Linked DNA regions of Stegostoma tigrinum. The protein of the gene in region 2 interacts with the protein of the main gene of each other region in a pairwise test. Links are inferred from orthologs where the notes say so. Each region holds a gene or a part of one and is shown on either strand. Other genes may lie near its edges.

What was found.
Region 1: the proteins of traf2 and NCK-interacting protein kinase (region 2) and gse1b interact in a two-hybrid assay, tested with the Homo sapiens proteins (2 studies listed by BioGRID and IntAct). The link is inferred for Stegostoma tigrinum from reciprocal best matches to the Homo sapiens genes TNIK and GSE1.
Region 3: the proteins of traf2 and NCK-interacting protein kinase (region 2) and dihydropyrimidinase-related protein 3-like interact in a two-hybrid assay, tested with the Homo sapiens proteins (2 studies listed by BioGRID and IntAct). The link is inferred for Stegostoma tigrinum from reciprocal best matches to the Homo sapiens genes TNIK and DPYSL3.
Region 4: the proteins of traf2 and NCK-interacting protein kinase (region 2) and protein KIBRA-like interact in a two-hybrid assay, tested with the Homo sapiens proteins (2 studies listed by BioGRID and IntAct). The link is inferred for Stegostoma tigrinum from reciprocal best matches to the Homo sapiens genes TNIK and WWC1.

What each region holds. Positions count from the first base shown.
Region 1 is NC_081369.1:53,029,735-53,037,417, forward strand, and holds the start of gse1b (genetic suppressor element 1), read right to left. Parts: upstream 3,017-7,683; 5' UTR 2,932-3,016; coding exon 1,000-2,931; intron 1-999.
Region 2 is NC_081367.1:57,295,081-57,302,129, forward strand, and holds the start of traf2 and NCK-interacting protein kinase, read right to left. Parts: upstream 3,024-7,049; 5' UTR 2,581-3,023; coding exon 2,524-2,580; intron 1-2,523. UniProt on the Homo sapiens protein: Serine/threonine kinase that acts as an essential activator of the Wnt signaling pathway. Recruited to promoters of Wnt target genes and required to activate their expression. May act by phosphorylating TCF4/TCF7L2.
Region 3 is NC_081366.1:72,847,779-72,855,447, reverse strand, and holds the start of dihydropyrimidinase-related protein 3-like, read left to right. Parts: upstream 1-4,662; 5' UTR 4,663-5,053; coding exon 5,054-5,383; intron 5,384-7,669.
Region 4 is NC_081366.1:21,677,136-21,684,073, reverse strand, and holds the start of protein KIBRA-like, read right to left. Parts: upstream 3,007-6,938; 5' UTR 2,875-3,006; coding exon 2,741-2,874; intron 1-2,740. UniProt on the Homo sapiens protein: Regulator of the Hippo signaling pathway, also known as the Salvador-Warts-Hippo (SWH) pathway.

The DNA.
Region 1 (7,683 bases), on a different chromosome or scaffold from region 2:
AAATTTTCACCTGTCCCACCATTGTTGCTGTCCCAGTAATAACTTGGACTGTTGCAGTCTCAAGTCAAAATGATGCACAGCTGCTTCCACAACACAACACGCACTGCCGCTTGAAGACTGAGGTAGACAGGGGCATTCCCCTGCAAGCGCCAAAACATGAACACCTGCTCCCCGCAGTGAGGGCACAAAGGTGTGTGACAAATCAGCACCAACTTAGCATTTGTCCCATCAGTCAGGTAACAACCATTGTCAAATTATTTTAATAAGGATCAGTTTGCCTGAAATGCGCAGATTACTTATCTGAGCGTTATGCGAACAACATTAGATCTAAAGACCTTAAGTGATAACCAACTTTCTATAAGGAAGCACATGCTCACTTGGGACAAGCATCTTGATAAAACGATGCCTGGGGAAATAAACTCTACGCTTAACTCCTTGCATGACACGTTGGCAACTTGCAAAATACCTTTCACAAAATCGATTTGTTCGTTTAAAATTCCCTTTCTTAGTCTTAAACATTAGAGGAAAACGGGGCGAAAATTGAGCGTAATTTGTCATTCCCCTGAATGAATGACAAAAAAAAAATGAAGTCTGTCGTGTCAAAGCAACAAAGCATCAGATAACATCACTAGCCTCCAGTTCTACTTCAGGACAATCAGCTGTCTTATATCAAGCGGGCACACACCTCTGATCTGGTTGTGTGTGATGGATACACCCCGTTACAATGCTGGGTTTGACCTTTGTGAGTTTTAGCTGGGCACAGAGTTCTCAAGAACTCATTCCAACGTGTGTCATTTAACCAAACATTCCCACAAATGTCATGAAAACATTACCTGTGACAAGTCAAGACTGATTTTGGAAATCATGAAATATGGCACCTAGATCTAAGGACGCACACTGTAAACGAGCGTAAAAGGACAAGTGAACTGCAGAGTGGACAGTGCGAATCAGATTTAAATGGACAAGGCCATCACACTGAAAGAGAAGTAAACGGTTTACCTTCACGTGACTGGGTGGTGATAACGAATCCGTGCGGGTTCCTTGTTTGAAGGTGCCTCCAGCCAGTACCATAGCCCTGCAATCCTCACACGCCCCAACTATCAGCTGCTCACCATCATCCACCACGAGAGTCTCGGCCACTCGAGGGGTATGTAGGAAGACAGGGAGTCGGTTTACCGTGATGGCTTTCAGGCCGAGGTGACGCTTTCTCTCCTGCCTGCAGAAGAAGCAGACAAAGGTGTCCACTTTGTACTGCCGGGACCAGGGGCTGCTGGGATGCTGAGTGTTCTTCCCCCTCCACCACTGCTCTAGGAGGTCATGGTAACACAGGACGCAGGCTGACGCTGGGCTGGTCGAATCTACAGGCCGGACGGTGGCCGTGCGCGGGCGGCTTGCCAGGAACGGAAAGAAGGGCTCACGCTGGCTGTGGCGGCCAGGGGGGTCGACGTTCAACTGGAACTCGCGGCCCGGCTCCAGCTCCGCGCCACACAATAGGCAGACCGTGACCCGGGCCGCCCTGAACACCTGCCCGGTCGCCGGGTTCGGGCGAGGGCCACCGGCGGCGCCGCTCATCCGCAGGTACCGCGTGAGGAAGGCCTGGGCGGACGAGATCAGCTCCTCCCGTCCAGTAGCGGTGTAGGCCCCCCATGTGTCCTTCAACACCGCATAGCAATCGTCACAGCATCGGACCTCCCCGCACTCACTCATCTCCGGGCCGTTCGGGGGACGGGGCAGGAGGCGAATGAACGGAAAGTACATGGGGCCGTCCCGAGCACTGCCACCACCACCACCATTGTCGATGCTCCTCGAACGCACAGCCTTGGCGTCTCTGCTACAGTCCTGGCCGCACAGGTAGCACTCCTGGCCTGGGGTCTCCCTACCGCCACTGGGCTCCCTCTCACCCGGGGGGCTCGTCAGTGCCGTGCCCAGGACTCCGGTGTTCAAGGGCACCATGTACAGCCTCTGCAGTACGGGCACGTTGGCCATCTCAAAGCCCCTCCACTGCTGCATGAGCGATGCGTGGCAGAATGTGCACACCAGGGTGCTGCCCCCGGGGCTCAGGGGGCAAGCCCCGGGCGGGGGTCGGTGGAGCCACAGGAAGGGGAAGAAGGGCCTCCGGCAGGGCCCGCCCTCCTGCTTGTGGACGTGGACCTGGTGCCCAGCGTCCGGGGGCAGGCCGGCACCACACACGAAGCAGGCCGGGCCCCCACCCTTGGCGACCACCCCGCCCCCTCGCTCCCGGGGTCCAGGCGGGTGGGACTCGTCCCCGGAGGAGTCTCCCGCGCCCGGGGGTGCCCGGCGGGCCGGGGTCTCGCTCGGTGGAGAGCGGTGGTCGGCGGTCGGCGAGAGGGGTCGGCCGGCCCGGGGGGAAGGGGCGAGGGAAGAGCCCCGGCGGTGAGTGGGAGCGGGGGTCTCCAGCTCCTGGTCAGTCAGGTCCTGGTCAGACAAGGAGGAGACAGAGGAGTCGAGCGCCTCCTTGCTGCCGTGCCCCACGCTGCAGGCTTCGGGCTCGTAGCTGGGGTTCCACTCCTGGGGCACGGTGCGGCTGTCGCACTGGTGCGGTCTCTTGAGCCAGTACATGCGCTTGTCGACCGGGGTGCGGGTCCTCTCGAAGGATTCCCACTGCTCGCCCAGGAAGCAGCGGCAGACGGAGCAGACCTGTACCCAGCCCTCAGCGCTTACCCCCCGGGCTCCGGGAGCTGGCTCCTGCTGCAGCAGGAACGGGAAATAAGGCGAGCCTCGGCAGCCCCCTGCCCGCACTTGGAGCCGCTGCTCCCGCCCGGGGCTCATACAACCGCCGCAGATGAAGCAGTGCAAGCGGGCGGTGCCGTTCGCCGAGCCGGCGCCGGGGCTCTCCTCCCCGGACTCGAAAGCTGCCATCAGCCGGTGTTTCCTGGAGCGCGGAGCAGCCGCTTCTTTGTCACTCATCATTCGCGCTGGGGGGAGGGAAAGCTGGAGGTGTCTGTAAATCCCCCCCCCCCCCCCCCCTTTAAACACCACCACCCACAGCCCACTCTGCACTCAGCTTCAAGGCGGACTCAGAGCTGTGTGTGTCTGTCTGTCTGACTGACTGTGCTGTCCCCCTCACACAATCTGCTACTAAACTTTGCCCAGCTCCAGGCAGCTAGACAGCGCCATCTCCTAGCGAGCCATCTTCACGGCCCCACAATGCAACTCCTACTCACTTACTCACACACACACACACACACACACAAAAACTTCCAGACCCCACACTTACTTCAAACTTCACACATCCACACCCCCAGGGGAACACACACACACACACACACACACACACACAGAGTATAGCCAGGAGCCTTGCTATCATTCTTCCCAAGAAGATGCAACCACGTCTGTGCCCTGCAGTCAGGTTCAATGGAGAACATTCAAGAAGGTTTTTGATCATTATCTCAGTAGAAACAATGTGCAGGGTTACACGGGGCTGGGCACCGCAAGGCACTCCATTAAAATTCTCACCCAAAAGGTAAAGCAGTAAAACCACCAAATGATGTTCTGAGGAAGTGTAGCCGGACCCAAAATGTTAACTTTTTTTTCCCCTTCACAGATGCTGCCAGACCTGCTGAGCTTTTCCAGCAACTTTGTTTTTGCTCCAAGTGATGTACACTGGTGCAACTTAGTCATAGAGATGTACAGCAAGGAAACAGACCCTTCGGTCCAACCCATCTATGCCAACTGGATATCCTAAATAAATTTAGTCCTATTTGCCAGCTTTTGGCCCATACCTCTCTAAACCCGAGATAACAAAGTGTGAAGCTGGATGAACACAGCAGGCCAAGCAGCATTTCAGGAGCACAAAAGGTGATGTTTCAGGCCTAGACCCTCTCTAAACCCTTCCTGTTCATATACCCATCCAGATGCCTTTTAAATGTTGTCGTTGTACCAGCTTCCACCACTTCCTCTGGCAGCTGAATCCATACATGCACCACCCTCTGTGTGAAAAAGTTGCCCCTTAGGACCTTTTTAAATCTTTCCCTTCTCACGTTAAACCTATGCCCTCTAGTTTTGGACTCCCCCATCCCAGGGAAAAAGGCCTTGGCTATTCACTCTATCCATGCCCCTTATGATTTTATAAACTTCTACAAGTTCGCCTCAGTACAGTGCTCCAGCACCTGCACTTCCAACTTTTTTATTACAAAAAAAGTGTAATTGCTGGATAAACTCAGCAGGTCTGACAGCATCTGTGGGCTGAAAGCACAGTTAACATTTCTGGCCCGGTGACTTTTCGTCAGTTTTTCACTGTATCCATGATCTGGGCTATGCAGACATGATGGATCGAGTGGCCTTCTTCTGCACTCTAACAACTTTCCATTTCACTTGACAGCACCTTAAATGAAAACAATGATATATTTCTCACTTCCCCTCAATAACATCCACATGTGATTGGCCACTAACTCATAAAGAATCCAGAAAGTCCCCATTGCTCCTTTGAGTTAAACTTTCAGCCCTGCCACCTCAAACTCACCCATAAGCATCACACTGTTGTTTACCTTCAGATTACTTGATAACCTGCATCCTTTTCACTCCTCATCCTCCGTAAAGATACAATATATAAACATATATAGACTGGTTATACTCGGCAGAGCCAACAGAGCCTTAGACCTTTTTTCATGAAGGGTCTAGGCCTGAAACACCAGCTTTTGTACTCCTGTCTTCATCCAGCTCCACACTTTGTTATGATAGCCATGTCTAACCCATTTCCCACACTTCTGCCCTCTTCTCTCCCACAACAACAATAGGGTTCTCCTTCTCCTCATTTTCCACCCACCAGCATCCACATCCAAATGATTATAAACTCCCATTTGCACCACCCTCCAGTGAGATGCCACCACCCAATACATATTCCCCTCCTTCTGTTGTTGGCTTTCCACAAGGATTGTTCCATCTGGGACACCCTGGTCCACTCCTCCTCCACTCCCAACACCTCCCTATAATCTCTGAAGGTGTAACATCTGACCATTTACCCCCTCCCACCTCACTATCCGAAGCCCCAGGCACATCTTCCAAGTGAAGCAGTGATTTACTTGTACTTCACTCAATCTAGTCTACTGTATTCGCCGCTCACAATGTGGTCTCCTCTACACTAGGAACACAAAACAAAGACTGGGTGACCACATTGCAGAACACCTATGTTCTATCGGTAAAAATGCCCCTGAGCTTCTGGTTGCCTGCCACTTCAACACATCACTGTGTTCCCTGACCCACGTCTCTGTCTTGGGCTTGCTGCAGCGCTTCAGTGACAGTCAGCCCATGCTGGAAAAAACAGCATTCCATTTTCGGCTTGGGGAGCCTGCAGCCTTCAGGACTCAATATTGAGTTGGATAGTCTCAGAGCATGAACATCTCATTCACTACCCCATCCCATTGCCAACACATTTCAACTAGACTCCATTATGAGCTACCTTGTATTATGTCATGGAGACAGGCAACCAAATCAGATCAGCATTCCTAACTGTGTATTTGCAACATGGTAAATTAAAATGACCCTCAAAATCGATCGCAGTGGTCCCTAACTAAATAACCTGAACCAGACTTAGTCAATAATCAATACAAGACGCCCTGTTTGTAGCTTAAACAAAATATACAATAACTTCTTAATAATACAGTAGCTTTAGCAGAGCAAAGTGAAACAGTAAGATAACCTAATTAATATCTATGATTTATACCCAATAACTTTTGTTTTCAGCTCCATTCACACAAAAAAACAGTAAAAACAAACATAATTAAGGAAAACCAAAAGATGTAAATCAGAAACAAAAACAAAAGTTGCTTGAAAAGCTCAGGAGGTCTGGCAGCACCTGTGAAGAGAAATTAGAGTTAACGTTTCTGGTCTTGTGACCTTTCCTCAGAACATAAAGAAAGAATAAATCAAAAGGAAAGGAAAAATAATAAAACTGGCCAGATGATTTCAGCAGTTTGCTTTGCTTCCCAGGTACACAGGTTTGTCTCAATTTGTTTTTTGATGGAGCTCATTGCCACCTTTTCCAGCTCATGCTAAGTAAGTTTCAATAACACTAATATCTTTGTTTCTATTCTCTGAACTGCTGATAGTTGATAACGGGAGTTTAGGCGGGGAGCTTTCAAATCTTCATGCAACAGTGTCAAAAGCCAAACTGCCTGTCTCAGAAATCCCCAGTTCAACACAGTTCACAAAAAAACTCTAGTACCTCCCTCTGTTTCATCATCATGTTCTCTCCCAGACTTGTTGGCACCAGTTCCCAGATACTGACCTCATTAGTGGCCTAACATCTGCTATCTGGTTAAGCTAAAGGTTTCACCAGAGTCAAAATATCTTGCAACAAGAAACAACCTGCAATTAACTTTCAGATCTGGCCTCACAAAGAAATAACATTTAGTTTTTTTTGGAAATACACACTGCTGCTCACAGTCCAATGATCACTTTCAGCTCTCAGCAGACAGTTCACAGTCCAAACCAAAAATGATAATGAAAATAAAATTAAGAAAAATTAGCAAGTGTTCCAAGGCTACCTTTTCTTCTTTCCTGATTTACTACCAACAATCTCTTTGTCTGCTTTCCCTTTTCTTTCTTTCTCTGGGCTCTGGCTCCACCTATCCACTCACCCCTTTCCTCACCAACCCCCACTCTTCTCCTTTACACAGCTGCTATTAGTTAGGAAGAAGGGTCACTGGATTTGAAACATTAGCTGTTTTCTCTCAACAGATGCAGACCTGCTGTATTTCTCCAGCAATTTCTGTTCCTGTTCATTTCAGAGCAGTCAGGATGTCTGTTCAAGGAGTTTTTGGGTTAAAGAAAGTGTCGCTACTGGCATTAAAACACTTATCCCTCTGAAAATCTTCAACAAAATTGCCTGAAATTGAAATCCCTGTGCCCAGATGCTGCTTCAGAAATTTCCCTCCCCACCACCCATGCATTTTGATTGTTAAATTGTGGAGTGGATTGCAAAATGCAATTTAAGCAGAAAAATTGAATTGATTATGCTTTTCCACTTACCTTCCTGTTGGATATGCAAATAATTTTATCAGTATAAACAAAGCTCCAACAAGCCTTCACTTTTTGACTGGGCTCCTTGCTTAGTTTATTCCAGTGCCCAGACGTGCGATTTATTAAGCACAACATTGAGAATTGAGTGTCAGGTATTCATTAGTTAATCCAACCTAAGTTCCCTAAAATAGCTGGACTTTGGATAACCTGCATTTCAACAACAGACCTACATATAAATGATGATTTAACTTGCATTTAAATATCACCTTCTACACCTGCAAGGCAGAATTGATTATTTCTGACATGTAGTAATGTTTTTAGGGAACCTGACAGCTGATTTGCTCCCATAATAATATTCTACAAACAGCAATGAGATTAGATGTACAGGTTTGACTATATTGGCAAGAGTACAAATGTTAGCCAGGACAACATAGGGAATCTTTACTGTTCCTTTTAAAAGTGACACAAGGTATTAAATGTTCACAAAATTGTCAAGTCTTAATCCTGTAGCTTTGGTTTTGAAAGAGGCAGTTTTATGCCCATTTGAATTGAACAGATCAACCTAAAAAGCAACACGCCCGCCTCCTTGGTGCCATTACAAAGTGATAATCTAAATGACATGCTCAGGTTCCAGGTATGAAGCTTTCACCAGAAAATTCTGAATTCAACACAAGGCCAAGCTGCCAACACAGATAAATAAAG
Region 2 (7,049 bases):
CAATTTTTGCTGTAATTTCCACGCAAAACACCTTACTGATTTGGAAGGGCAGGCACGAACTCGCTCCCAGACAAAACAGATCGAGATTCCCGCTCCATTTTCATGCGCTCAAGACAAGCTGGAACCAAACTCAGCAGCTCCAACCATGTAAGATAGTGACCATGTAATATTCACATTCCAAGCCAGAGGGGCCAACATCAGACCTCGGATAGCATTCAGTGACGACTGGCTTCTTTCAATCACACTCGCAAGCTGTGGAAATCAGCGCGGGCCGGCCCCACAGTCAGCCTCACCCCAATGCTATCCAACCTACTTTACTCACGTGTGGGCAGTCTGTTTTCACCTAACACCGCTACAACACAACCAACGACACAGACAGAGGCCGTTCAGCCCGACCTGGCGGTGTTGACAATTGCTCCCTCCGTCCCCATATGAGGAAGTGGTTCCAGTCACATTTACACACGCCCATTTCCCCCACCCAACTCAATTCGGAATACCTGAGCCGCTAAACTCAAAATACTAACCCTCGGGTGGGGGATGGCAACAACTTTGTGCATTTACATAGCACCTTTCATGTATTTAAATGTTCCACGGTGCTTGTCATTAAATAGATTGTGGCACTCAGCTGCATAGGGAGATGTTGGGACATACGGCCTAAAGCTTGGTCGAAGACATTGGCCTTAATGATTGGCTTACAGCTCTCGTCTCCCAGTCCCCCTTTCAGGAGTGGATTCCAGAACTTAAGAGTTCAGGCTGTAAACAGAAGTTTCCTTAATGGTGAGATTAAAATCCTCAGGGGGCAAATATTGGAAGGCAGCAGCGATCTCGGAGGGTTGTACTGAGCTTTCAGAGCGGCGAGACGGTGGAGAGAGATGAAAACAAAGATCTCTCCTTTTGGCAGAGAGTGACAGCTCTGCTGAAAGACTTCACAAATTCCTGCTGTCAGTTTGCCAAACTGGTAGTGAATGGAGGGAAGTAGCGCTTTGTTGGGTTAACCTGTGCTTCTTTTGCACTGGCTTTCTCACTTGCCTCAATAAACCACACAAACAGAAACTGGGAGAGAGGGCACTGAACCTGAAATCTCGATTTCTTCCCCCCCCTCCCCCACCAACATGCGCCCTGACACGACAATATCTTTGAAAATGCCAAAAGCAGAATTGTTCAGACATGCTATAGCAAATCAAGAGATAATTAGCCAGAAAGCTCCTTCAGTGCCTCGGAACAAAGCCCCTACACTACACTCCGAAGTGGCTCCACAACAGATGTTTATGATAATCATGCACACTAAACAATGGAAATATCACCATTATCAAATTCCACAACGATCAGCTCCCTCCCCACTCAAGTTCCCCTTCCCACACTCTTCCCCATCCTAATTCTAACCGCCCCCCCCCTCCAACACCAACTACCCCATTCCCTTCCTTGCAGTCTCCCTCTCCATCTCTTCCCGGTCTTTTCTCGTGTCTTTCTCAACCAGACACCGCTATGCAGGGCTACCATGCACAATAATCAGGGTCATTACAGATCGTTTAAAATGTTCACGAATCTCTCTCTTCTTCTGACCAGATGGCCAAAACTGAAATGTCCCAAGTTTCGACAGGCTATTTTAGGCTCACAAACAGTAGTGATTTTTTTGTTTGGTATCCAAACGATTCCTTCCCTTCGAAGCATTATGTTAGTGAACGCCTGTCGCTGATGACAGCTCCTATTGCCGTAGCCATTAAACCATTCAGGGTCTTGTGCATGGGATCCAGACAGAGGTGGAATCTCTCATCCGCTAGCTTTCCCTTCAGGACCCTTTGACCACCACCTCCCTAACAGCAAACACATTTTGTGTAGGCTGAATGAAACAGCACGATACCCCTGGCCCAAGCTTCTCTTCCTTTATCCAGTTGTATTTTATTTTCCTCTCTATGTTATTATAAAAGCTGAGGCTGCCCCGTACCTGGTCTCTGACCAGCAATCTCAATTTCGCGAAATGCTTGAAAATAAGCAACAATTCACTTTCTGCAGAGAAAATTGAAGGAAGCTCTCCAACCGGAGGCTTTACAAACGCATGTTATGAAACATCGTCTCGGTTTGGGAGCGCCCACAAACACACAAGGTAACAAATGCCTTCAAATTGAAACAATTCACTGCGGGAATGAGGGAGGGTGGTGTTGGACGGCGCGGGGGGTGGGGGGGGGAGGAGGTGTAGTCGATGAATGAAAAAAATCTAAACAGGTTCCATTTCACCCCATTCATTGTGACATTGGCGTACAGTGAGCTTAATGGAATGATGAGCTTAACACGTTACACATAAACACAAGCAACTCGGTTTAGACGTGTTATTTATCCTTCCTGCCAATTTGCTACAATTTTGAGACAGGACAGGAAATGTAGATTGTAACATCGCACATCTTTGTGACACACAACTGCTACATTGGTGTGTTGGAGATTGTGACAGTGCTACAGAGGGAACAATGTATCTCCCGGAAGAAAGCAAAATCTGGCACGAGGAGAGCTCTGATCTGGGTTACTCACCCTCAGAGCCGAGAGGTCGATTTCATCCAAGCTTCGCGCTGGAGAGTCGCTCGCCATGTTAATTTCACCCGAAAACTGACACAGCCCGGAGCTTAGTCTTGTCTCTCTCCCACTCTCTCTCGTCACTGCTTTTGTAACGATTTAAAACATATCCTTCCGCTCAATGACACACAATCAATAAGACAGGTCTTTTACATGTGAAAAGAATAACGGCGGGGGGGTTCGGTTTTAATTTGTCCTAATTTCTGGTTACACCACAGGAGACAGGGAGTTAAATTACTGCAGTCCTATTCTGTGAAGGGTCCTGTTCAGAACAACTGCTCTCTGCAAAGCGCCCACACAATATATAGCACACACACACACACACACACACATAGCAGGGCTCTGCAGAATCTGTCAATCACAGCATCCGGGGAGGAGACAAACAGCAACACGCGTATCCTTCACCAGCGAGAAACTGCTTCGCTTTCAAGCAACTGCAAACAATCTTCAAGAGCACGTTGTCGCTGAGAGAGGACAAGCAGGCAAGACACAGTAACGAAAGCATGGCAGCCTCCTTCCTTAAAAGAATCTGTACTGAGGATCTTGTGCAACACCCCTACCCCAACCACAAACCACCACTACTATCACTTGAAATGTCATGTTCCTGAAACACTTCACCCATCTGTCGCCGAGGGGAGGGTTAAATTCTGGGAGTAGGTTGCACGAGCAGGTTTGCAATTCCCTTCGGCGCTTGAGCGGCGTGTGAGGTTATCAGTGGCAGACAGGAAACGTGAAGCTGAGAATGCGGTGAGCCATAATCTTATTCAATGGCAGAATTGGAATTGGGGTGGCCTGAGGGACGGCTATGCTCCCGATTCCTATGTTCAGACCACGGCCTTTGCGTTTTGATACAAATGAGTGGTCAGACCGTTCCAAGAAGCAGTTAGGAGTCAGCCACATTGGTATGAGTCTGGAGTTACATGTGGGGCAGATCTGGTGAGGATGGCAGATTTCCTTCCCTAAAGTACTTTAATAAGCCAGATGGGATTTTATGACAATCAATGAACATTGCCGTGGTATCATTACTGAGTCTAGTGTTATGTTCAGTGTTTTTAAATTACATTTAACTTTCACTAGTTATCATGATGAGATGTAACCCTGTGTCCTCAATAGCTTAGGCATCTGCAAGTTGCATACTTCATCCTGAATTGGAACAATTTCCTTGTTCCTTAAGAGTGGTAGGGTCAAAACCTTGTAACTTGTTTCCCAACTGCATTCTAGCTGTCATCGCACCAAATGGACTGCCAGAATGTGGCTCAATACCACCTTCTCAAATGTGTAATGAATGCTGATCCAGACAACGACACTCACATCCTGTGAAAGAATTATGTGAGATGTTTAAGAAGATAAAAAAAAGTTAGAGTAAACCTATAACTTAGCTGCCCACATCTAATTCACACCAAGTAACAATGCTCACAATTATATTGCCTTGATTTACATTAGCAATATCTCAATTACAAATGCTTATTCTTGTGGTAAATCTGTCCATTGCCTCAACCCAACATATTCCAGTAATATCCTTAATTACAATTATCTCTGCCCTCCTCCAATCCTGGCTTTCTGTACAACCCCGTAGATTATGCTCTACCATTGACAGCTGTGCTTTCAGGTGCCCAGGATAGGGCAGACAGTGGACTAGTGGTATTATTAGGGGTCTGTCAATCAGAGACTCGGGTAATGGTCAGGGGACCTAAGTTCAAGTCCTGCCTGGTAGAGGATGTAATTTGAATTCAACAAAAAGTAGTTCTGGAATTAGGAGTTGATTGATGATTATGACAGCAATGTGGTTGGCCCTTAACTGCCCTCTGAGATGGGCAATAAATGCCAGCCTAGCCTGCCACACCCTCATCCCTTGAATGAATTATTAAAAAGCTGTAATCTCTGCAATTCTCTCCTGGACTTATTTTCCCCTTAAAACCTAATCTTTGATCAAGCTTTTGCATTTTAGGAAATCCTTGGCATTCTTGTGAAGCATGTTAGGATGTTCAACCAAACTAAAAATGCAAACATTGTTGCATGTTTTAATTAACATGTATATAGTCATATGAAGTTTTGGATCAGATGCAATATAAACCTGTAGTGTGTAACATCAATAGTCAATCATATTCAATCCTTTTCTTATACAGTACCGTTAGAAATTTGTTTGCCTGCATTTACATTGGAACTTGCCTCTGTAAATGCCTAAGTCCCTTTTAAATCTTTCCTCTCTCACCTTAAACCCATGCCCTCTAATTTTGGACTACCCCACTCAAGGAAAAAGACCTTAGCAATTCAGCTGATCCAGACTCCTCATGATTTTATAAATCTCCAAAAAATCTCCGTTCAGCTTCCTGCGCTGTAGGGAAGATAGCCCCAGTCTGTTTAGCTTCTCCCTGTAGCTGAAATCTTCTAACCCTGACAACAGCTTTGAAAATCTTTTCTGAACCCTTTCAAGTTTAACAACATCTTTCCTGTAGCAGGGAGACAAGAATTGAACGTAGTATTCCTAACAAATTTCATGTGCAGCTGCAACATGACATCCCAACTCAATACACTGACTAATAAGGGCAAGTGTACCAAACGCCTTCTTCACTACTCTGGCCACCTGTTACTCCACTTTCAAAGAACTATGAGCCTGCACCTAAGGTCTCTTTGTTCGGCAACCCTGTCCAGGACCCTACCATTAACTGTATAAGTCCTGCTCTGATTTGCCTGACCAAAATGCAACACCTCACACATCTAAATTTAATTCCATCTGCCACTCCTCCCCCCATCTGGTCAAGGTCCCATACTCTGAGATAACCTTCTTCACTACCCACTACACCACCAATATTGGCATCATCTGCAAACCTACTGACCATACCTCCTACATTTACATCTAAATCATTTATAAAAACAACAAAAATTAGTGACCCAGCACTGATCCTTATATCACACCATTGGTCACAGACCTCCAGTCCTCCTCTCTCTGTCTTCTACCTTCAAGCCAATTTTATATCCAAATGCCTAGCACCCCCAGATTCCATGTGATCTTAACATACTAACCAGCCAGCCATGCAGGACCTGTTGAACACCTTTCTCAATTCCATATAGCCAACATCCACTGCTCTGCCTTCATCAATCTTCTTTGTCGCTTCTTCAAAAAAAAGCTCAACCTAGTTAATGAGACATGACATCTCACACACAAAGTCATTTTGACTATCCCTAATCAGTCCTTGCCTTTCCAAATACATGTAAATCCTGTCCCTCACAATCTCTTCCAACAACTTACCCACCACTGATGTCAGGCTCACTGATCTATAGTTGTATGGCATTTCTTTGCCACCTTTCTTAAATAGTGGTGCTATGTTAGCCAACCTCCAGTCTTTCAGCACCTCACCAGTGGCTATCAGTGATGCAAATAGCTTAGGCAAAGGCGCAGCAATCACTTCCAATACTTCCCACGAGGTTCTGGGAAGCACATGATCATGTCCAAGCACTTTATCCATCTTTATGAGCTTTACGATGTCCAGCACCTCCTCTTCTGTAATATGGACGCCTTTCAAGATATCACTGTATATTTCTGCAAGTTCTCTAGGTTTGATAATCTTCTCCAAAGTAAAACCTGATGCAAAATACTCTTTTAGTATCTCACCCATCTCCTGTGGTTCCACACATAGATGGTCTTGTTGATCTTCAAGGGGCCCTATTGTCTCCCTGGTTACTCTTTTGCCCTTAATGCATTTGTAGAATATCTTTGGATTCTCCTCAACTCTTCTTGCTAAAACCATCTCATGTCCCTTTTTGCCCCACTGGTTTCCCTCTTGAGTATGCTCCTACTGCCTTTATACTCCACTAGGGATTTGTTTTATCCCACCTTATATCTAAACATGCCTCTTTTTTCTTGACCGGAGCTTCAAATTGCCTAGTCAAACAGAATTGATGACATGTCTATCCTGGGCCTCCTGCAGTGCCACAATGATGCCACCCGAAGGTTGCAGGAACAGCAACTCACATTCCGCTTGGGAACCCTGCAGCCCAATGGTATCAATGTGGACTTCACAAGCTTCAAAATCTCCCCTTCCCCCACTGCATCACAAAACCTGCCCAGCTCGTCCCCACCTCCCTAACCTGTTTTTCCTCACACCCATCCCCTCCTCCCACCTCAAGCCGCACCTCCATTTCCAACCTACTAACTTCATCCCCCCCTCCTTGACCTGTCCGTCCTCCCCAAACTGACCTATCCCCTCCCCACCTATACACTCCTCTCCACCTATCTTCTCCTCTAACCATCTTCAGTCCGCCTCCCCCTCTCTCCCAATTTATTTCACAATCCTCTCCACATCCCCATCTCTGATGAAGGGTCTAGGCCCGAAACGTCAGCTTTTGTGCTCCTGAGATACTGCTTGGCCTGCTGTGTTCATCCAGTTCCACACTTTGTTATCTTGCCTGCACATACCAGCCTTGCCCTTCATACTAACAGGAACATACAGACTCTGAACTCTCATTATCCCATTTTGAAGGCC
Region 3 (7,669 bases), on a different chromosome or scaffold from region 2:
GTTTGGAGCTGGCTGCTACAATTGATGGACACAGTTATTTTTCTCTCTGCTGTGGCATTTAAAAAGCTTCAGTTCTCTTTCTGTTGCTAGATTATTTCTTTTGGTGCACCTTTCTCCTGGGGCTGGAGTGGAGATAGCACATAAGGAAAACCTATTTTGCTGAAGTTGTCTTTGCCAAGGGTGTGTTTATGGGATGCTGCAATATTGGAACGTTATTTTGTTAAGTGGCTCAAAAGACTTAAAGTTATGTCAATTTTTTTTGTTTATATTTTAACTGTGTAACTATTTAACTGTTGTAAGAATAAAATGTGCTGCTTAAAGCCTAATGGTGGGCTAATTGAATTACATCAGGAATGCACACTTGCCTTTAAATAAAATGAACAAAGTTCATGCCAAGGCTATCTCCTTGATATATTGCAAGGGTGTTTTGGTTTTGTCCATTATACAAAGCAACACTTAATTTCCAAAACCGTAGTTCAGTACATTGCAATTAAAGTAGTATTCAAAGGGCTCAGCACTATGAAACCTGTTCCTCTTCTATGTATACCAAACAGCAAATATAAACATTGAAGTCCACAGATACTATGCCTAGCCTCACAGATACTCTGGCTAATTTGCTAAGCGCCAGCATTGCCATAATGTAGTTAGTGAGAATTGACTTCAAGCAGTGGGTGAATCACAGAAATGAAGGAGAAAATCATGATGATGGATGAAGAACAGGTGCCTTTCAACTATTGAAGCATTGTTATTCATGCAGAGTATCGGGGGTCCTGGCCTCACAGGGCTGGCATATTAGATGAGATTTCTGTTGTGGTTGGTTGGCTCGCAGATCTGGTTTGTTGATTTGCAGATGTTTCACTACCCTGCTAGGTAACATCATCAGTACAGCGTCCAATGAACTTCATCAAAGACTGCATTGTGATGTTACCCAGCAGGGTAATGAAACGTCTGTGGAACAATGAACCAGCTCAGCAAACCAACCAACCACAACATCCACAACGAGAGCTACAAATCTACTCTAAAATGAGATTTCTGCCGGAGTACATATTTAGAATCATTTCTAAAGCTCAAAAGACATTGAAAGGGATCTCATAAGGAATTTGGACATGTTTACAGTGCAGCAATGGCAAAATGCAAACTCCAGAATCACCTGCAGAAGAATCCTCAATGTTGTGGGCTCTAAATACAAAGGAAGTCCTTCATATTTGCATGGTACTTGCTGCTACAACAGAACTGGGAGCACACTTACCAACCATCTTGTCTACTGGACATGCAGGAGATTGCATTGGCAGAACTACAAGGCATGGCCTTAAATTAACAGCTAAGGATTTGCAATCTCATAAAGATCACAGTCCAATTTAAGATAATTCCCTGCTAGAATAGGAGCAAGGAATACTTGGGGGAAAACGAATAGCAGAAGCAATATTGTTTTCCTTAGAGCAGGGAAAACTAATAGGAGATTGAGCGAAGCTACCATAAATTATTGCCAGTTTACAGTGAATAGGAAGGAACTATTTCCATGAGCAAGTGGAGCAGTAAACAAAGGCTTAAAATAACTGACAAAAGGCTAGAAGAGAAATGAGGAGAACGTTTTCGCGCAACAACTTATTGTCATCTGGAACAAAATGTCTGAAAGTTCAGGAGTAGCTTTCAAAAGGCAATTGGGCAATTATTTGAAAAGAAAAAAAAAGTAAGGCCGTGGAAAAAGGCAGGAGAGTAGACCTCACTGAGAAGCACTTCTGGTATGCTGTGCTGCTTGGCAACGTGATGACTCTTTTAAGATATGAGCCAGCCCTTACTGTAGTGTCAGTGGCAAGGTTGGCCACAAAGCATTTAATACTGGCTTATTGAGGCCAAAGCAGCTGTCAGTGATTGTTTTTAATTTCAAATGGATTATTTTTCATTTAATGTCCATTGCATCTGAAAGAATTAGTGGGTTTTAAAGATGTGTTCCACTTATGATGTATTCAGCAATTTCCAAACCATACATAGAAGCTTGAACGTATGGCTATGAGCAGCGATGTTGTTTCTGATTGAAACAAACAGAGACAATATTGGAGAAACTGAACAGGTCTGGCAACATCTGCAAAGAGAAATGGAGAACTTCACTTTAGGAGTTCTGAAAACATTAACTTTGTTCTCTGTGGAGACAGAAGTTCTCTATCTTTCTCCAAAGACACTACCAGACCTGCTAAATTTCTCCAGCACTTGTTTCAGCTTTCCAACATCACAGTATTTTAGTTTCCAACAGAGTTCTTTATTGGATACTGATTTTGGACTTAGCGGAGGTGAAATTACTTGCATAGGCCTGAAAGCGATGGTTAGACCAAGGTGTTAATATGACAAAACACTTATTAAACCTTTTGGTCCAATTTTTCCATGCTGACCAGGTATCCTAAACTGCACTAGTCCTATTTTCCTACATTTGGCACATATCCCTCTAATCTTCTCCTATTCATGTACAGCCATAGAGTCATGGAGATTTGCAGCATGGAATCAGACCCAGTATTTGGTCCATATCCCTCTAAACTCTTCCTCTTTGCATACCCATCCAGGTACCTTTTAAATGTTGTTTTTGTACCAGCCTCCACCACTTCCTCTGGCAGCTCATTCCATACACACACCACCCTCTGTGTGAAAAAGTTGCCCCTTGGGTCCCTTTTAAATTTTCCCCCTCTCACCTTAAACCTATGCCCTCTATTTTTTGGACTCCCCTACCCTAGGGAAAAGATCTTGACTATTCACGCTACCAATGCCCCTCATGATTTTACAAAACTCTGTCAGGTCACCCCTCAGCCTCCGACACTCCAAGGAAATAACTCCTTACTATTCAGCCTCTTCCTATAGCTCAAACACTCCAAACCTGGCCACATCGTTGTAAGATAGCAAGTTGCAGAATTGGATGAGCACAGCAAGCCAGGTAGCATCAGAGGAGCAGGAAGGCTAACGTTTCGGGTCTGGACCGTTCTTCAGAAATCACTGTAAATCTTTCTCTGAACCCTTTCAGGTTTGAGAACATTATTCCCGTAGCAGGGAGAAGGATTAAAAAGCAGTATTCCAAAAGTAACTGAAACAATGCCCAGTACAGCTGCGACATGTACTTGTCCAAATGTATTTTAAATGGAAGTCATGACCATACCAACTGGTCTTGTTCCTGGTTGAGTAAACAATGCAAGAGTCCAAGCGTTATGACCAAACCAAATGATACTCCGTTCCTGTTTCCAATGCAGAATGAGGGAGTAAACGGCAGTGCAGAAGGGAGGCAGATTTGGCAGGGTCTGTGTGTGTGTGGGTGGGGGGGGGGGGTGCAGGCTGGTAGTCAGGATCTTGGTAGCAGTGGGCTTTGCGTTTCCTCACATTTGCGCTGGGGGTGGCGTGCCTCGGCGAACGAGGCGCTGCAGGGAGGGTGCTGAAAGGACAGTTCCCTTATTGCTGCATCCGAACGCTCGACCCGCCCCGGAGACAGCCCGGGGAAACGGCAGTGGCGTCTGTGCCCGGTTCCCCCGGTCGCTGCCCAGGCCCCCGAGCAAAAATGCGGGGTGAGTCCTGGGATCTTACCGTGCTCCGGTTGCTCTGACTTACACTGGCTCTACAAGTGGGGCAATAACAACGGGATGGGACTCAAGGGACGTAGCCTTCCTATTTTCCGGTTGAAGACCATTGGTAAAAGAAAGGGCTCGCTTCCATTGTTTAAAATAACACCTTTTTTTGTTTTAGAAAGTAAGAATTTTAAATTAAAATCGATGCCTATATTGAAGATAATCTCACTGTTTTGAGGACCTCACTGCAGTTTCAATTGAAAAAAATGACCAAATGACTGTCAACAAGTGCAGTTACATTTTTTTTGGGAACTCTTAATCTTCGAGATTCCGGGGCGCACTCTGATTTTAAACAATATTCACGAGGAAGTTAATCTGGGAACTCTTCAGCTTGTTCTTGATTCAGGTCTTCTTAAGCTTTCAAGGCAGAGGTACAGAATCATGCAGGTATGTCCTGGTGTGGGACAATCGTTCTCTGCCACAGTAAACACCTCCCTCAGTTGTCCCACTTCACCCCCACCTACCCGCCAGCTCCCTGTCGTAGCCACACAGTTCATCCATTATCAGCATTCCCTCCAAACAGTGTCTGCTTTCCACCTATATATTCAGACGCCATTCAGACACGCACATATCACGATTAACCGAGATTGCAACCGAGGAAGAGAGAGATAGAGACTTGCAGAACGACACAGAGAGGGAGAGGCTGTTAGAAAGACACACACGCCGAGACAGAGGGAAAGATAGAGGCTGTGAAGTCGACAGAGAAAGAGATACAGAGGCTGTTAGAACGACAGAAAGAGAGAGAGGCTGCTAGAACGACAAGCGCAGACAGAGGAACCTGCATTGTCTTGTTTGAGTCAGCAAGTTCACTCAAAAAGTCAATTGGATTGTCAAGCCTGCTCCCAGAAGACAGGATCGCGGGGCGGGGGGCGGGGGGGAACTCAGACAATCTGTTCCGTTTCTCCTGACCCCTTTAAGGAATGGGTAGTGCTAAATTGCGTACATTTGTGAGCTTTGAGGGCGTCTCTTAAAAAAAGAGAATAAATAAAACGTAACCTTTGAGAAATGTGCTTGTAGTGAGCTGTGATTTCAGGGCTCTCTCTCTCTGCGCTCTCTCCACTCACTCCCATATCCCACCCTCCACTGTCACAAAAAAGAGCCCCTGGAGATTGTCCTCACTCGAACTGATGGAGCGGCGCCTGTGAATTACCACAAGCAAATGAGAGAGAGAGAGAGAAATACAACACGGTGGAGCTAACTGCACTTTAAAATCCACTCAGTCTGTGGCTCACGCCTCCTTATCACTTCCGTGTCAGGGGATTTCAGAAGCAGTCTGCCACTCGCAGGCTCAGTTTTTCTGACTCCCCCATTTCAGTCTTTCTGATCTGCCTCTCCTCCTAAAACCTCCTCCAGCACCCACCAGCCCCCTCTCCTCTCACCCACCCCCAGCAGGGAAACAAAACCAAGCTTTTGTAGCCCCTTCCACCTTTGCTTGGAGCCCAGGCAGATTCCCAATGGCTGAGGGTAGGAGGATCTGGGATAAGGAGGATGACTTGCCGGTTTATCTGGCCCGGCCGGGCACGGCAGCTCAGATCCCCCGGCAGAAATACGGGGGCATGTTCTGCTCGGTGGAAGGAGCGTACGAGAGCAAGACTTTGGATTTCGACGCACTGAGCGTTGGCCGCCGGAGTTCCCGGAGCACCAGCGGCGCCAGTAAAACTCAGGGGTCCCGGGACAACGCCGAGGCTTCCGGCGACACAGTCAGAGACAGCCCGCTGGCGACCGGGGTACAAATCACCACGGCGAACGGCAAGGAGAGGCTGCAGAACCGGGATGACCCACAGGTAAAATGAAACAACTTCCATTCCGTCTCCTCGCATTTCCTACGCGCATTTCACTGCGAGTTAGAATTGCAAACTTGCAAAACTTTTCATTTCTGAGGAATGACATTTCATCTGTGAGGTTTTGTGCATTTTTTAAAAAACGAAAATATGTTACATTTCGATTCAACAAAACTGTTCATTTCAGCTGTGCAAAAAAAACATATTGTGGTACAAAATATCTTTCTGCTATTGTTGAAGTTCATTTGTGTTGGCGTGGATTTTTTTTGTTTGCTTTGTTTTTGAATTAATGGCCAGATGGGGCATATTTGTCAACAATAGCCTTGTCAGGTGGGTTAATATACTCAGTCTAGCCCAGTTGGCGTCTCTTTTAACCGGACCATTGCGGATCAGAGCAGGCGAGAGATGTCCTGTTCAAGGGAGCATCTAAGTTCAAGTGACTGCAGACAGGATTGCATTGAGCTGTAACATCAGGCAGAGCTTCAGTGGCAAGTCCCCTGGGAAGGAAGAGGTGCACAGAAAGGGGGGGCTCGGTTAAAAGCAAAGCAACAAACCCTCAGCACTACCACCCCCCCTCCCCCCACACACACAATTTGATTGTCTTACTCAATCTGGCATGGGGTTCGCCTTGCCGCATTTGGCTAGCCCTGTGTTACTAAAGGGCTGCAGTGCAGCACGTTATAATGGCCCATTCTGCAGTCTTGGAGGGTCTGTTTGGGAGATTTCTACAAGAGCATAAATAGAAGATGCTGTTTACTGGGGGAGGGGTGCTAGGGGGTGAGTGTGGTTGATCCTCTATCTCTATTACACACAAACACACACTCGTTCCCCCACCTTTCGTGTCTCTGAGCAGTGGGCGCGGTGCTCAGTAACGAGGCAGGCGGCTCCTCCGCCCCAGCTGGGTGCCTGGTTTGGGGTTGCTTTCTGTTTTTTTTTGAAAGGGGAGAGGTTGGTGGGGGCTGACAGGTGAGACGGTGGGAGATAGGGAAAGGAGGTAGAGCCACGCTGTGGCTACAGACTAGAATTGCACTGCGGTAGTTGCATGCGGTCTTTTCCTCTCGGTTAACCCTCCTGGAACAGGGCGGTGGTGGGGGGGGTGGTGTTGGTGAGGGGATTACTGCCGCATGCCTGACTTCGACTGCAGACCCTAGAACACAACCTGCTGTGGACAGAACTCCCCACCCCCCAAACTCTCCATGCAGAAAGAACAAAATCCAGCAAGAATTTGTCTTGACATGTAGTGCCTCTGGGGCTGCCTGTTTATTATCAGGATTGCTTGGCACTCCAATGTTCTGTTTTAAACATTTGCTGTACTGGTGAAACCAAATTGGTTTAAACTGCAGCCAAATCCTGTCACTCTGGAGGAGACTGTCTGCCTGTGTCTGGCCTCTGGGAGATTTGGGATTGCACTACACATCAACAGGTCAGGCTCTGAGGTGCAGCTCAACCGGTCACTTCCGGTTATACAGGGCACCAGTTATGTTCAGCCAGTTCAGACATTCTGAATTCAGCTGGGTCTTGCATCCAAGCCTCCTGGCCCGGGATAGGGGCACTGTCACTGTGCCAAAAGAAACGCAAACAAGAGTCAAGAACTATTGTGTTTTGAAGCAGGGTCACTGGACTGGAAACTTTAACTCGTGCTTTCTGTCCAGAGATATTGAAGGACCTGCTGAGTTTCTCCAGTAATTTATGGTTTATTTTGTTTCTGATTTCCAGCATCCGCTGTTTTTCTTGTTTAAGGTCAAGCAATGGTTGATTCACATTGTTAAGTGTGGAAGGGATGTATCTTGTTTTTCATCCAGCCAGTGTTGGTTTTGAATGTGCCTGTCTCTGAATTCCTGAGGAATAAATTGGGCACCCTTTTTATTCCCTAAATGAAAAACAAATGAAGGTTTCTTTTGACTTTCCAGTTGCTTGTTTTCTTTTTATGTGCAGCAATGAAATTGTTCATTTACAAAGCAGTTTCAGCATGCTAAATCCCTGGTGTACCAAGATGAAAATTAATGCTCCAGGCATGGTTCAGAGACTCAGGTTTGGAGAAGTCTTTTGAAGATCACACATAATCTAACCGAATGACAGAACAAGTTTTATTTATTTTGTTTATTGTTATATGTTTTTTGTTACAAAATGCAGGAGAAAAAGTGTTATACAGTGTCTTTGCTTTCCGTTGCCATGTTAAAACACAGAAAGGTAAGCCAAAGCTAGAATATAAAGGCAGAAAAATGAAGAAATTAAGAAAATGCCTTCAGCTTTGTAGTCTTTCTTGTTAAGTGTTCCATCATGGGCCAT
Region 4 (6,938 bases), on a different chromosome or scaffold from region 2:
GATATAAAACTGGCTGTCCAACAGAAGACAGAGGGTGGTAGTAGATGGAAAGTATTCAGCCTGGAGCTTGGTAACCAGTGGTATTCTGCAGGGATCTGTTCTGGAACCTTTGCCATTTGTGATCTTTATAAATGTCTTGGATGATGAAGTAGAAGGGTGGGATAGTAAGTTTACCGATGACACGAAAGCTGGTGGAGTTATGGACAGGGTGGATGGCTGCTGTAGGTTGCAATGGGACACTGACAGGATGCAGAGCTGGACAAAGAAGTGGGAGATGGAACTCGATCCAGAAAAGTGTGAAGTGATTCATTTTAGAAGGTTGAATTTGAATGCAGAATACAGAGTTAATGGCAGGATTCTCAGCAGTGAGGAGGAACAGAGGGATCAGCCCATGGTGTTAGGATAAGGGGTTGACTGTTTAGGACAGAGATGAGAAATAAAAAAAATTTGCACCTGGTGTGATGAGGACATGTTGGTTAATCTTTGCAATTTTCCATTCTTGAAGGTAGAGATTCCCTGTCCAGAGATCCCATAAAGTTGCTACCCAAGTTGAGTGAGTTGAGGCTTTTGGTGTTGGCTTTCATTGGCAGGGGAATTACCTTACCATGAGGTTATGCTGCAGTTCTATAAAACTCCGGTTAGCTCACATTTGGAATGTTGTGGTCAGTTCTGGTCAACTCATTATAGCAAAGGTGTGGAAGCTTTAGAGAGGGTGCAGAGGAGATATACCAGGATGCTGCCTTGACCGGAGGGCAGGTGTTATAAGGAAAGGTCGAGGGAGCTTTTCATTCTGGCGAAGAAGGATGAGAGGTGACTGGATAGTCAGAGACACTTTCCCAGGGCGGAAATGACTATTTTGAGGGGGCATAATTTTAAGGTGATTGGAGGAAGGTGCAGGGGAGATATCAGAGGTAGGTCCTGCACACAGAGTGGTGGGTGTGCTGAATGCGCAGCCAGCAGTGGTAGTGGAGCCAGATACTTTAGAGACTTAAGCGACTCTTGGATAGGCGCATGGAGCCTAGTAAAATGTTGGGTATGCAGGGAAAATTGATCTTAGTAGGATAATAGATCGGCACAACATCGTGGACAGGAGAGCCTGTACTATGTTGTACTGCTCTATGTTCCATTACTATTTTCAAAATGAGCAACAATTGTCATTGAAAAAACCCACTACTATACTGCTTTGATTGACAGGCCATCTTCCTCAGATCAATAAACATAAATGTAGCCAGGATGCATGCAGTTCCAAAATGAGTTCTTTGTTGACATCTCCTCAAGGGCTATGATGTCAATATGAATGTTTAGCTAAATTTCAAAAGTTACAAATTATTTGAGCACGCTGATCTGATTTTAAAATTCAATTGGCAACTTAAAGTTTAGCAGTCTTAGAGGTGAGATCTTTGTTGATTTTTATAAGAATTTGAGAAAATTGCAAAGCCTCGAATTAATCTTATAAATGGTGCATTCTATCTGCTCCACTGTCAGAAGTGTATAAGTGAAAGCTGTGGTTTTTAATCTACTACTTCTATATCACCACGTGGCCCAAGGTCTGCCCATGTTTAATAATGGGTGAATGGCTCTTTAAAAATTCATGGATGTGGGCATTGTTGGCTAACCAGTAATTATTGCCCATTCTAAACTGGCCATGAGTCAACGACATTACTATGAGTCTGGAGTCACATGTAGGCCAGACAATAACAGGAGCAGTTTCCTTCCCAAATACAATAAAACATAGGATAAGAATTAGGCCATTCAGCCCATTGAGTCTGCCTTGCCATTCAATCATTGCTGTTATGTTTGTCAACCCCAAGCTCCTGCCTTCTTCCCATTACCCTTGAAACCCTTACCATCAAGAACCTATCTCTATCTCGAATAAACGCAATAATTTGGCCTCCACTCCCTCTGCAGCAATGAGATCCCCAGGTTCACCACTCTTTTGCTGAAGAAATGCCTCCTCATCTTATCTCTAAAGGGTCATCCATTCACTGAGGCTGGGCCCTTCAATCCTAGTCTCACCTATAGTGGAAACATCTTTGCCATGTCCATCCTTCTGGTCTTCTGCAGCATCCGCCTTTCTTCAACATTATCTGACCCTCAACCTACCTAAAATGACATTAATGAATTAGATCAGGTTTTCTTGACAATCGACAATGATGTCATCGGACTCTTAATTCCAGGCTTTTAGTGAATTCAAATTCTCCAAGTTGCTGTGGCCAGATTCAGTCTGTAGAACATTATCTGGGTCTCTGAATTAATAGTCTCCTAATGCTAAATAATATTCCTAATACAATTGCTTCCCCATCATAATGTCAAATATAGGTTCTGTGTCTTTCATTCGAAAAAGAGACAACTGTGGAGCCTAAAATTTTTCCAGTGTTTCATAAGAATTGCCTGCAATGTGTCAAATTTAAGAGCCGGCAATTTTGATGATTTTATTTAAGTTTTAATTTTTTTCCCCTTCGGCGGGCAAGCAAGTCTGCAGAAGAAAGCATACAAACTGGAAACTGGAATGACCTCGGGATCCTGCAGAAAGGAATGGGGTAAAGTATCTTGGAATGTCACGCCTGCGCATTACAGGTCCTGGTTTATTACGTCCACAGCTCCCAAAATCAGACATGCGCAGTACAAGAAACTCGCTTGTTAATATTTTATATATAAAACGCACGCGCAGTGCTCCAAACGGCTGCACCTTATTTGGCAAGTGGAGCTGTGTTTGGGTTGCTAACCGGGGCCTACCCACCTGTCGCGGGGATCGACCCAGCTCGTCTGCTTGGTGTTGTGGTCAATGTAGTACAACTTCCCATCGTAGTCGGTCGCCTCTTCCCAACCGGGTGGCAGGGGCAGTTCTCCATTGCCCTTGCTGGGCTTGGGCATAGCGAGCGGCAGGTTGTTAGAAACTCCAGCTCCTCCATGGGAAAGTAAAACGATGAAGGAGAAACGCCGAGTCGCTGCTCCGAGCCGGCGGCACTTCGCCTTGAAACATTCTCTCTCCGAGTTTGTGATAAACAAATGTTATTTTTACCCCCCCCCCCCCCCCCCCCGAGCCCCCGTCCTCCTCACGCCTCCATGTTTATTTGAGCTGAGCGGAGGGAGAAGCTCGAGCGGCCGTTTGGACTCTGCTCGCGCTCCCAACCGAAACGCGCGCACGACCACCCAAAACGTCACCGTCTTTTCGATGTCCCCTTCGTCTCTTTCGGGTTTGCAAACTCCCCCGGTCTGCCCCTACTCCTGCCTCGAGAGTAAAAGTTTCCTTCTCGTTGTGCCCCTGCTGCTGAACCGCTGCCCTGTTCTGGGATTTTTTTCCCCGCGGCTGAGCGACACTGCTTCCAAATACTCTCTGCTTACTGCATGACGTCATCCAGGTTGTCAGTCAGGTACCTTTCTGCCGTAATTACACTAAAAGAAGCGCTGGAGTAGATCGTAATGTGCTTAAACATATTGTCCCCTTCCTCGAATCTACTCACCCCATTTGTCCACCACACCGCCTCCCCCACCTTCAAAAATTGAGTTAAAGGATGGATGTGTTGGAATTGAATAATGTTTTGCTGTGCTTGTAATCTGGTGCTAGTTCTGTCTCACTTGGTGTAATGCTTACCCCTCATTCTACAAGGACTTGGTTTCAAGTGTCATTTCGGTGCAGCAGTGAGGACAATGAGACTCCTGGACGTGCCATATTTCGCATTAGGTTTAAACAGATGCCCTGTGTTTTTCCCCCTCGTGGAGCTAAAACATCCCAGTTTGAGAAGCCCTGATATCCCTCGATAAACGCCACAAAGGCAGATATGCAAACACACAATGCTGGAGAAACTCAGCAGATCTAACATAATTTGGAGAGCGAAAAACAAGAGTTAACATTTCGAACCCGGTATGACTTTTTCAGAATGTGGTCGGCACAACATTGTGGGCTGAAGGGCCTGTTCTGTGCTGTACTGTTCTATGTTCTTTAAAGTGTGTACTGTTTCTCACTCCACGGCTGCCAGACCTGCTGTGTTTTTTTTCAGCAATATGTTCGGTTTAGTTTTCCAGCATACACAATATTTTGCCTCCACTCTGAAACGGTTTGTTATTTCATGTCAAGTTGTTGCTTATAGGAGCTTGAACACAGGGAAATGGCAGTTAAATTGTCTGCGGTCTCTCCTACATTACAGCAGTGACTAAACTTTACCAGTACATAATTGGTTGTAAAGTGCTTTGGAACCTTGTGCTACGTTTTGTTTTTATGGGGAAGTATATACAATCTTGCACTGCAAATGGAGGCCATCCCGGTTATTATACGTGGATAATAAAATGTGAGGCTGGATGAACACAGCAGGCCAAGCAGCATCTCAGGAGCACAAAAGCTGACGTTTCGGGCCTAGACCCTTCATCGGAGAGGGAACTGGAATAAATAGGGAGAGAGGGGGAGGCGGACCGAAGATGGAGAGTAAAGAAGATAGGTGGGGAGAGTAAAGAAGATAGGTGGAGAGAGTATAGGTGGGGAGGTAGGGAGGGGATAGGTCAGTCCAGGGAAGACGGACAGGTCAAGGAGGTGGGATGAGGTTAGTAGGTAGATGGGGCTGTGGCTTGGGGTGGGAGGAAGGGATGGGTGAGAGGAAGAACAGGTTAGGGAGGCAGAGACAGGTTGGACTGGTTTTGGGGTGCAGTGGGTGGGGGGGGAAAGAGCTGGGCTGGTTGTGTGGTGCAGTGGGTGGGGGGGGGGAAGAGCTGGGCTGGTTGTGTGGTGCAGTGGGGGGAGGGGACGAACTGGGCTGGTTTAGGGATGCAGTAGGGGAAGGGGAGATTTTGAAACTGGTGAAGTCCACATTGATACCATTAGGCTGCAGGGTTCCCAGGCGGAATATGAGTTGCTGTTCCTGCAACCTTCGGGTGGCATCATTGTGGCAGTGCAGGAGGCCCATGATGGACATGTCATCTAGAGAATGGGAGGGGGAGTGGAAATGGTTTGCGACTGGGAGGTGCAGTTGTTTGTTGCGAACTGAGCGGAGGTGTTCTGCAAAGCGGTCTCCAAGCCTCCGCTTGGTTTCCCCAATGTAGAGGAAGCCGCACCGGGTACAATGGATGCAGTATACCACATTGGTAGATGTGCAGGTGAACCTCTGCTTAATGTGGAATGTCATCTTGGGGCCTGGGATAGGGGTGAGGGAGGAGGTGTGGGGGCAAGTGTAGCATTTCCTGCGGTTGCAGGGGAAGGTGCCGGGTGTGGTGGGGTTGGAGGGCAGTGTGGAGCGAACAAGGGAGTCACGGAGAGAGTGGTCTCTCCGGAAAGCAGACAGGGGTGGGGATGGAAAAATGTCTTGGGTGGTGGGGTCGGATTGTAAATGGCGAACGTGTCGGAGGATGATGCGTTGTAATCGGAGGTTGGTGGGGTGGTGTGTGAGAACGAGGGGGATCCTCTTAGGGCGGTTGTGGCGGGGGCGGGGTGTGAGGGATGTGTTGCGGGAAATGCGGGAGACCCGGTCAAGGGCGTTCTCGATCACTGGGGGGGGAAAGTTGCGGTCCTTAAAGAACTTGGACATCTGGGATGTGCGGGAGTGGAATGTCTTATCGTGGGAGCAGATGCGGCGGAGGCGGAGGAATTGGGAACAGGGGATGGAATTTTTGCAGGAGGGTGGGTGGGAGGAGGTGTATTCTAGGTAGCTGTGGAGTTGGTGGGCTTGAAATGGACATCAGTTACAAGCTGGTTGCCTGAGATGGAGACTGAGATGTCCAATAAGGTGAGGGATGTGCTGGAGATGGCCCAGGTGAACTGAAGGTTGGGGTGGAAGGTGTTGGTGAAGTGGATGAACTGTTCGAGCTCCTCTGGGGAGCAAGAGGCGGCGCCGATACAGTCATCAATGTACCGGAGGAAGAGGTGGGGTTTGGGACCTGTGTAGGTGCGGAAGAGGAACTGTTCCACGTAACCTACAAAGAGGCAGGCATAGCTGCTTCATCTCCAACTGCCGTCGAGACATTAACCGCCTCAACCTCTCCACCCCTCTCACCCACTCCAACCTCTCCCCCGCAGAACGGGCAGCCCTCCGCTCCAACCCCAACCTCACCATCAAACCCGCAGATAAGGGTGGTGCAGTGGTAGTATGGCGCACTGACCTCTACATCGCCGAGGCCAGACACCAACTCTCCGACACCACCTCCTACCGCCCCCTCGATCATGACCCCACACCCGAGCACCAAACCATCATCTCCAACACCATTCACGACCTCATCACCTCAGGGGACCTCCCACCCACAGCCTCCAACCTCATTGTTCCCCAACCCCGCACGGCCCGTTTCTATCTCCTTCCCAAAATCCACAAACCTGCCTGCCCTGGTCGACCCATCGTCTCAGCCTGCTCCTGCCCCACCAAACTCATCTCCACCTATCTGGACTCCATTTTCTCCCCTTTGGTCCAGGAACTCCCTACCTACGTCCGTGACACCACCCACGCCCTCCACCTCCTCCAGGACTTCCAATTCCCTGGCCCCCAACACTTGATATTCACCATGGACGGCCAGTCCCTATACACCTGCATTCCGCATGCAGATGGCCTCAAGGCCCTCCGCTTCTTCCTATCCCGCAGGCCCGATCAGTCCCCCTCCACCGACACACTCATCCGCCTAGCTGAACTCGTCCTCACCCTCAACAACTTCTCTTTTGACTCCTCCCACTTCCTACAGACCCCAGCTATGCCTGCCTCTTTGTAGGTTACATGGAACAGTCCCTCTTCCGCACCTACACAGGCCCCAAACCCCACCTCTTCCTCCGGTACATTGATGACTGTATCGGCGCCGCCTCTTGCTCCCCAGAGGAGCTCAAACAGTTCATCCACTTCACCAACACCTTCCACCCCAACCTTCAGTTCACCTGGGCCATCTCCAGCACATCCCTCACCTTCTTGGACCTCTCAGTCTCCATCTCAGGCAACCAGCTTGTAACTGATGTCCATTTCAAGCCCACCGAC